Arabidopsis thaliana: one gene and its partner. The protein of the gene in region 2 interacts with the protein of the main gene of each other region in a pairwise test. Each region holds a gene or a part of one and is shown on either strand. Other genes may lie near its edges.

What was found. Proteins that work in one complex are often made in the same cells at the same time.
Region 1: the proteins of SK16 (region 2) and AT5G03970 interact in a two-hybrid assay, tested with the Arabidopsis thaliana proteins (2 studies listed by BioGRID).

The regions. Positions count from the first base shown.
Region 1 is NC_003076.8:1,070,333-1,075,622, forward strand, and holds AT5G03970 (F-box associated ubiquitination effector family protein), read right to left. Parts: upstream 3,158-5,290; 5' UTR 3,040-3,157; intron 2,654-3,039; 5' UTR 2,646-2,653; coding exon 1,389-2,645; 3' UTR 1,174-1,388; downstream 1-1,173. Other genes in the region: AT5G03980 (SGNH hydrolase-type esterase superfamily protein), read right to left, coding at 3,873-4,700, 4,814-4,957.
Region 2 is NC_003071.7:962,312-966,131, reverse strand, and holds SK16 (SKP1-like 16), read right to left. Parts: upstream 1,919-3,820; 5' UTR 1,901-1,918; coding exon 1,388-1,900; 3' UTR 1,231-1,387; downstream 1-1,230. Other genes in the region: AT2G03180 (uncharacterized protein), read right to left, coding at 3,006-3,368. UniProt on the Arabidopsis thaliana protein: Involved in ubiquitination and subsequent proteasomal degradation of target proteins. Together with CUL1, RBX1 and a F-box protein, it forms a SCF E3 ubiquitin ligase complex. The functional specificity of this complex depends on the type of F-box protein.

The sequences.
Region 1 (5,290 bases), on a different chromosome or scaffold from region 2:
GGAGAAAAGAATAATGACGACAATGAGTGATAGTACAGTTTAATCATTAATAGAGAAATAAAATTAGATACATCAAACTTTGGAGATTTTTAATCAAAGACTATTTTGGGTTTCATTTTCTTGTAGTTAGGGGTGATTGTTGTCTTGTTGAGAATGCTAAAAAGTATTAGTCACTAAATGTTTATAACTCACTAAAATGACATTATACGAAATAGCAGTAACGGAGTTTTAATTATGAAACTGAGTTTTAACACCCAAACTTGGTAGAAACTCAAAACATGCACATATTTATTACTTTAAAAGTTTCATAATAATGAGCTAAATTTATCAAAGATTCACAAATCTCGTAATCGGATGAATATCAATAAAAATTAGTTGATGGTGGTGGTCCATATAGACCAAAATTCGTTGTTGAGTAGATCATTACAACTTTAGTTATCATGTCATTGAAACAATGATGAGCCATGTGAGCCATATATATGATATGAACATATATAGAGAGCGACCTATAGGTTTTGTTTAGGCCTTTATAAATAATGCATTGGAGTTTCTCAACACAGTTAAAGATCCTTTTGAGTTGTCATAATGTCCCACCACTCTTTTAACACCAGCTTCTTTTTCCCTTCAAATCCAACAATATTAGTGATCATCTTTTTTCTAGGCATAATGCATAATTTTGAAATGTAAATCTCACTTGAAGTCAGAATTGTTGGTGCATATTTAGACGGGTCTCTATTTATTCAAATCAATGATCTTTACAAATATCTTAACATAACATTTTCATCATTCATAAAAAGATAAAAGGGAAGAAAAAGGTTGCAAGCAAAAAGAAAATAGAAAAAAAATCAATGTACCAATAATGAGATCATAAAGTTATTATCTGTACCTAAGATTACATAGAGAGAAACTATGATCTGTTTCTTAGATCACTACATGACTTTATAATTATTATTATGTTTATTCGTTTTTTAGAAAATTGAAAGAACAAACATTCGTCATTACATTTCAAAGAATGTGGACATTCTCCAAGTGACCCATTAATTCAACTTATAATATTGAAACTATTTGGATCAACCTATAACTTAAGAACTATGTAGACAAGTGACATCGATTATCTGTGTAAATAAATTGATCTGTTTTATAATTTGTTAGATTGAACCATTTGTTCTATGTGTAAATTATCATAAATTAGCTACAAACGGAGTCAACCACAAAACGCAGATCCAAAACGCAAATGCAAAAAGGCAGAGTCTTTAATGACACCCATGAGAGAATACATCAAAACCATGAGAGGTTCATCAATGGCCAAAACCAAAAACCTTCAGCATCAAAACATAAAAGATAGTTGAATAGCCTACATACATAAACTGATTAAAAGCATAAACTACTTAGTTACTTCCTGCGGAAGAGGCGTTGCATTGAGGAGTGTCGATCATCATGGCATTGTTTTCAAACAGAGGAGAACAAGGCCAGGTACGTCGAAAGTAAGGCACCACTTTGTTGAAATCCCAAACGAGTGTCGATTTTCGTCCTTGGTACTGAACTACTTCGACCCTTTTAGTCTCTGTGTGATAGATGAAGATTTGTGTATCACATCTGATGTACACCAAGTCCGACTTCTGATTGAAGAGCGCAAGCAGCTGCGTTTCTTTAGTCCAAGTGCTGAATCTTGTAGCTACCGCTTGGTTCATTTTCCACATCGCCTTGAAATTCACCTTAAACAGCAGGTTCCATTCAAGCACATTGCCTACCTTTTCAAGCTTCCATACCTCCATTACCGACTTATTGCTCCATCCGTATTGTAAAGACCCATCATCGGTTTCTCCCAGAACCTGTTCATCATAGTCATATGTTTTCGGAAGCTTTATCACATCAATCCGTTTCTCCTCACTGTTTGAGTCATATATGGCAATTTTACCTCCTCTAGCATGCCAATAAACAACGCCTTTAATCACTCTCCCTGGAGTCCACGGGCTGAGAGATAGAGGCTCGAGACAAATAAGCTCTGAGTAGCTCCACGTAGAAGTTTTTGAGGAAAAAGTCTCTACCTTCACCTTTGTACTGTTAACAGGAAAGGCTACACACTCTGCCCGGACCACCTTGTAGCTAAACCCTTGATCAGGACTATCCTCAGAAATCAAAGACATACAAAGTTCTTCGAAATGAACTCTGGGACGTGGAAGTTGCTGCTGCTTCTGTGTACTCGGATCCCACAAGTAGTAAGCTTTTGGATGGCGGCCGCAGAGTAGAAGACCATCTGCAGAGTCGATGTAGTATCCAAGCTTTTTCAGAATACCAGAGGATTCAATTTCATCACCAATACTGCTGGTTGAGAGCAAAGGAAGAGATGGCTCAGCGCGAGGGCGACGAGTTCCATCTATGCGTCTTCCAAGGTACATTGAGCTGCAGACGAAGAAGCCAATGAGTTCAAAATTAGGTTTCCACTTGGCTAAGTAAGTGTGACGGAAGCAAGGGCTGGCTATAATCTCAAGCCATCTCTTGGACACCAAAATCAGCTTGTATATCGTTTCTGGTGGAAGCAGGATAAGAATCTCACACATAGTATCATTACTGTTAAGAACCTCATGAGTACTCAGAGCAGAAGTCATCCCCAAATTGGTTTTTAACCTGGCAGAACAAGACATTGCAGACACTGTTTCTTTGTTCATCAGTAATAGAAATCCAACACAATCAAAACAACCACACAGAATCAAAAGACCCACAAGCTACAAAGAAACACAAATCAATTTCAAGTATCTAGTGGATTGAGAAAACTCAATAACCTAAAATCTCCAAAGAGAATCTACCAAAACGCATGCAAAATCACAAAAGATGTTATTTTGGTTACACCCATGAGGAACAAGAACAAAAGTCGGAGAATTTCGCAGAAATTTTTCTGAAACCCTAAGCTTCAAAGTTACGATTTTTAAGAACAGGAAACGATTACAGAGCGAGACTCATCACTAAGGTAGAAAAAAAGACTTAGCATTACGTCAAGAAATTGGAAGATACAAGAGCTAAAAGAGGAGAGAGAAGAACCTTGGTGACGACGAACGCTGAACGCAGAGAAGGGATGCAAACGTTTCTTCACAAGACTAAAGTTATACAATGCTACAATATAAAGGGACAAGTACTTTCTCCTAACCGGATCTCGTTGCGATTGAACCGGGTTCAGTTCAGTTTAAATTTGGTTCGGATTGATGGAAATCCAGAATTCTGATTGGATGAATTGCTTTAATTTGATTTACATTATTTTTATGTTTGGTACGATTTCGTTAGGGTTTAGGTCAATTTGTTACTACAATAAATGTGAACCGGTTATGCTATTTGCTTTTTAACCTTTTTTTTTCTGACATCCCCTCTCTGGTTTCATCTGACGACGGACAAGATTTAAGGGATAATCGAACGGTCAAAATTATAAACTACGGGACAGATTTCGTTTTTTTTTTTTTTTGACAAGCGACGAAGATTTTTCTTTCTTTCAAATTGTGTTTTTCTCTATATTCGATTCGAGATTAAATTCTGAAATATTGTTCTTTTTTTTTTTTTCTCTTTTGTGGCATGAACATAATTGTTTTCTTTTGTTCTAGGAATGTCATTTGTCACTTTTGTTAATGCAATTGAGAAATTTGAGGTTGCAGTTAGGTATGCATTTAAAATAAGATTGTCTAGTAGAAATTGGACTTACGATTTATATGATCTTCATAAGTAAAAAAGGATGCTAACATATTTTAAAAAATCTGTTGTTCAAAAAAAAAAAAAACATATCTTAAAAAATCAATAAAATCTAAGGATGTAAGATATTATTACAAATAGTAGAGATTTATAACTTAACAAAAAATCGAGGAGGGACTAAAAAATAACGCTCGTAATTAAGCCCTAGTACACTTGATCTGTGAAAGAATCTGATTGTTCAAGAACTTAGACATGAATCTATAAGCCTTTTGAGTCAAGTGCACTCCGTCCCAACTTATGAACTTGTGTGGATTCTGACACACCGGAACTCCCACTGCTCCGTATGGCCTCTTTCCGTCGTAGTTGTAAGCTCCACCGGTCCCGCAACACGATTTCAAAGCTACACTCTTGTCGAATCTTTCACTTCGTAGAACGTATTGAAACGCATTGTAGTAATCTCCGTATACTATAGCCACGTCTGGAAACTCTTTTCTCAAAGAAGCTATAGCTTCTTGGAGTTGGTTATTGTGATCCATTGCGAATTCGTTGAGATGCGTCAAGCAACCGTTGTCGTCGTAATCTTTTGTATCTTTCACGGGAAAAGACGTCAAGTAAATCGGAAAACATCCCACTGGAAAGTTTCCCGGGACGACCACGTTAACCGCACCAGCACGGATCACCTCTCTAGCTGCGGCTGTGATGGCTCCAACCACGTGAGGGATGTAGCTTCTGATTTCTTCCATTGGTTTGCCTTGGAAGAAACCGTAGTTGTAGTCGTTGCCTCCTATCTCACCGACCATGAAAAGAGAGTGCTTCAAGCAATCCGAAGAAGAGCCGTGACACGTGGAACGTAGATGACCCTTGAACCAAGCAAGCTGCATGGAGAGAGGAGTGTTTGTTGCCGGAACGTGGAGATTTCTCTCGGAGAAGAAAGAGCTGTTGAGTGCTGTGCTTCCGGAAACTCCGAAGTTAACAAAGACGTTGTGTTCCCGTTGAGGTAAGGGTTTAGGAGTGGGAGATGAAGCCTGCGTGCCAAGTAATCGATCATTAGCAGTCCGTTAGATAGACGACCGGTGGCTTGGTGAAAGTATGTTTGACCGTATGGATAATTAGCGGCGTGAGAAGATCTGGCTCCAACAGGGCCGTTGCGGATTAAGTTTCCAGTGTCGGAGATGGAGTCACCGAATTGGTAGATAGAGTTGATAGGACATTGATCCGATGAATGAACAAGGGACACGAAGAGTATAAACACAAGAAGCGATAATGCTTTGGTCGTAGACATTGTTAGAGAAGTTTGAGAGATTTGTTTGTTGGTTTTAGACAAAGAGAAGGATGAGAGAATTTGTTGCCTATGTGTGTGTATATATAGAGTTTCATAATCTAGCTCCTAGTTAGTCTGTGATTTAGATAGATATATTCAATAATAATTATTGATAGTGATAAATTCAAGAAAAATATTTGATAGAACGAGATCTGAGAAAATATGTCAGAATTTTTATTTTATTTTATATTATTAAAAAACATTATTATTTAATATTTAATCAACTAGAATCAGGCAAAACGAGGCAACGTATCGAAAATTCCTCTTTTTATTAATATCAATATTTTGCCTAAA
Region 2 (3,820 bases):
TTAAAATCTATATAAATTGTTAACCATAGATTGGAGAATCTTCTAATTAATATATATATATTAATATTTACGTAACAAGAGTGGTAATTTGTTTTGGAAGGTCTTGTTCCACCATGAACAACTTTGATATAGACATTGATATGATGATTCAATATTAGAATTATTGACAATAATGAACACTAATTATTATTAAAATTATTAAACTTGGAAGCAAAGTAAAGGGGTTGGCTCAACTTCCAAGCAACTCGAGAGAGAAAGAGATGAAATGCATGCGTCATGCAATTTTTATCAATTTGGAATTATAAACACGTCGCCTAACAAACATAATTAAGCCCTAACCATCTCACCTATTTTTTTCTTTCTTAAATCAAATTGTTTGAAAACCATGAAATATATTGATGTATCTTATTATCTTATACTGATTCACTAAATTTTAACATATGTTTTTAGAAGGAAAAAAGATATATTGTATTTTAGATAGTATTTTAGATCTGTTCCTTCTACGATTGTATATTTCTCTCTCATATAGAACTTTAGAGCATATGTGGATTTGGTGTCGAATGTTCTTTGGTCGATATCTCGGAACATGAAAAGGATTAGACTAAAATGTGATTGCTTGAATTAGCTTTTAGCCTTTGACAATTGACACTCACGGGATGTTTAGTATATTATGGGCTTTAAAGGGCCCGTAATAATTTATATATTCTTGCTAAATCGACCCATTGTGAAGCCTCTCTTAAAACTAATTTATAAATGTAGATAATGAAAATTATAGTTCAATGCATGCATACATAGCCACATATCCCATATGGATTATTATTATTTTATTTTATTTTAATTTTGGGTGCAAATCCCATATGTATTAATTTACATTAAATGTAATTAAATGCTTTCATACTTTTCACAAATAACTTTCTATGATAGAAAAATACCATTACATTATTTAGAAAATATGAAATGATTTAATTTATTACATTTAATGTAAAATAATACATATGCGATATGTGTAGGTATGCATTGAATTATCATTTCATTATGAATTTTCACTACGTGGCTAAAAGAAATCGTAAATGTTTAATTTTTTAACAGAGAGAAGCCCTAGGGCACATGTATTTTGATAAATTTCCAGTGCCCAAGTCTTCATCAAACGGTGGCGATGTACGCTATATTTTATACTGTTCCGCTGGCGAAAGAATTCAGAATCGCCAGAGGCTTTTTGGTTGGAAAGAATTAATTAACATTGGCATATATAAGTAAATATTGTTAAACATTATAACATGATGAAATACAAAAGGAAACCACAAACCATGAATTCAAAGAAACGAATGCAATCAACAAAGATTAAAGAACATCGAGATCAACACTTAGAAAACGGAACTTTATGGTTTTACTTTAGATCCTCAAAAGCCCAAGCGTTTTCCTTACGAATCGCGTCTTCTTCTTCAGGTGTGTAATCATTCTCAATGTTAAAGAGTTCTCGAACTTCCTCTGGCGACATATCTTTCATGTGATCTGCAACGGTCTGGCAAGTGAGACCAAGAAGATCTTGGACGTTGAGATAATTAACAGCGAGAATGAGTTTCATGACTGTTTCCATATCAAATTCTTTCATGAACTCTGCGTCCCAAGTCCTGAGCTCGTTCTTGGCTTCCTCGTTTACATTTTCGCTTGTTGCTTCAGTAGAATCATCACTATCATCAACATCATCAAGTACGTGTTTCTTGCAATACTCGATAACCAAAGCGAGGATATTTCCGGTGACGTTTTCAAGCGGGATTGCTTTATCGGCGCAGTCGTCATCGATCATGTGTGCTATGACCTTCAATTTACGAGCCACCGCTTCCTCAACCTCGAACGATTCATCATCCGAGCTAGTCAACACAATCTTGTTCGAAGACATTGTTTGTTTTGTTGTTTTGTTGATTTTTGAGAGATTTTATGGAAGAAATGAAATGAGAGAAATTGTTGAATAAAATTGATGAAGCTATGAAATAATGTCTCTCTTTTTATAATGAGTTGAGAGTGGGTCAAATCTTTAATTTAGGAAATATAGTAAGGAAAAATAAATATAACAAAATCCTACTATATAATTAATTGTTAGGCTCTTATATTTTCTTTTAATATTTGACCCATACATATACTACACACATGCTAATAAAATTATATTGATTAGATTTTATATAAGTTATACTAATATTGTAATTTAATATTTTAAAAATATTAACCATTATAGATAGGATTTCACCTAAAAGCAAAATTTAATTTTTGGTATCTCTTATCAACTCAATGTAAATATTAAATATAGTATAATATAGTGAGATTTTTTTATTTATAAGTTTTAGAAATAATTAATTTGATGACATGTACTTTGTTCTAAGATACTTACTTTTTCAACATTTAGCATTTTAGCAACAATTTTTTTTTTGTCAATAACTTTATTAGATTAATTTAAACAATCTAATTCTGAGGAATATTGTTTATATAAGTAATTAAATGTGGTTTAGATGTTTTGACTTTTTTATTATGGCAGTTATGTAGTGGCAGACTCATAACTTAATTTTACCGGGGTACTCCAAAACAGAAACGAGTTACCAGGAGCACTATGATGTCCAGGGCCGGCCCTGAGCTAAAGCTGGTGAAGCATGGGCTTTAGGCGCCAAACGGTATTAATGATTTAGAGGGCATCAATTTCCAAAAAGTTTTTCTGGCACAGTGGTTATGTTGCCTTTCAATTAGACGAGTTCGATATAGTCTACAGTTTTTGTGTATTTTTTTTTCTATTACTTGTTAATGGGCTAATTTTTTTTTTTGCTTTAGGCATCAAAGACAAGAACAAGTTCTCTAGAACTAAGCCATACGCTCCTTCTCTACGGAAATTAATTCATGAAACCAAAAGCTTGAAGAAATTCAGCATTATGAGCCCGTCTTTACGGAACGATGATTACCGAAGTTTTCTCAATCCTTTAAATCCATTTCCTCTGAATTCTGAGCTCATGTATATGACATTACACAACATCTGCGATTGGTGGTTTTTCTAGGATTATAAAGCAATCTTTAGTAATTCTTAAGGTGAGCAACTCTTTAGGCTCGACAAGCTCTTGATCAATTTGCAAACCTTTCAAAGTTTGAAGAATAACGGCATTTTGACTGCATCTCCAAGGAGAAGTAGTTACCGAATCTTCGACAATCTCTCTTATCCGGCAGCTTCTTCCGTGGAACGTTTTCTTAAAAGCTTGTATGCGTTGTTCGCTCGAGCCATCTATAACCACATGGTGGTCGAGGAATTTGTGAAGTCTGTCTTTATGGGCGAACCCAATTTTTGCTTCAACAGATTTTTTAATCTTTGCAAACTCTTTAAAGATGAGCATCTTTTTGAAAAACTCATGGAGCCATTATCTCTCCTCCTTTTGTGTTTTTTTCAGTTTCTATTTGTATGAACATCCCTCTTTTAGGTTTTAAGTAAATTAAAGTTGTTTGACAAAACAAAAAAGAAAGCCCATACGCTCCTATCTCTCTGCCTCTCTCTCTTTTTCTCTCGCTTTATGATGTTTTCTACGTAATAAGTGTTGATATGGGCCTTGGGACGCTTCATATGAGATTGGATAAGTTTTCAACAAAATTTACGACCAAAAAGATTGCATGGCAAAATTCAACTGAATAGTATTAATTTGCATATTAACATCCTCTCGCATGAATTTTCTTTCAGTATATCGTCCGTATATTTTAATATCATAAAATAATAAATCGCTCTAAGAAAATCTTAACCTCTCAATTATCAACCCGAAAAGAAAAAAAAGAATATTAAAACGAAGTATTTTAT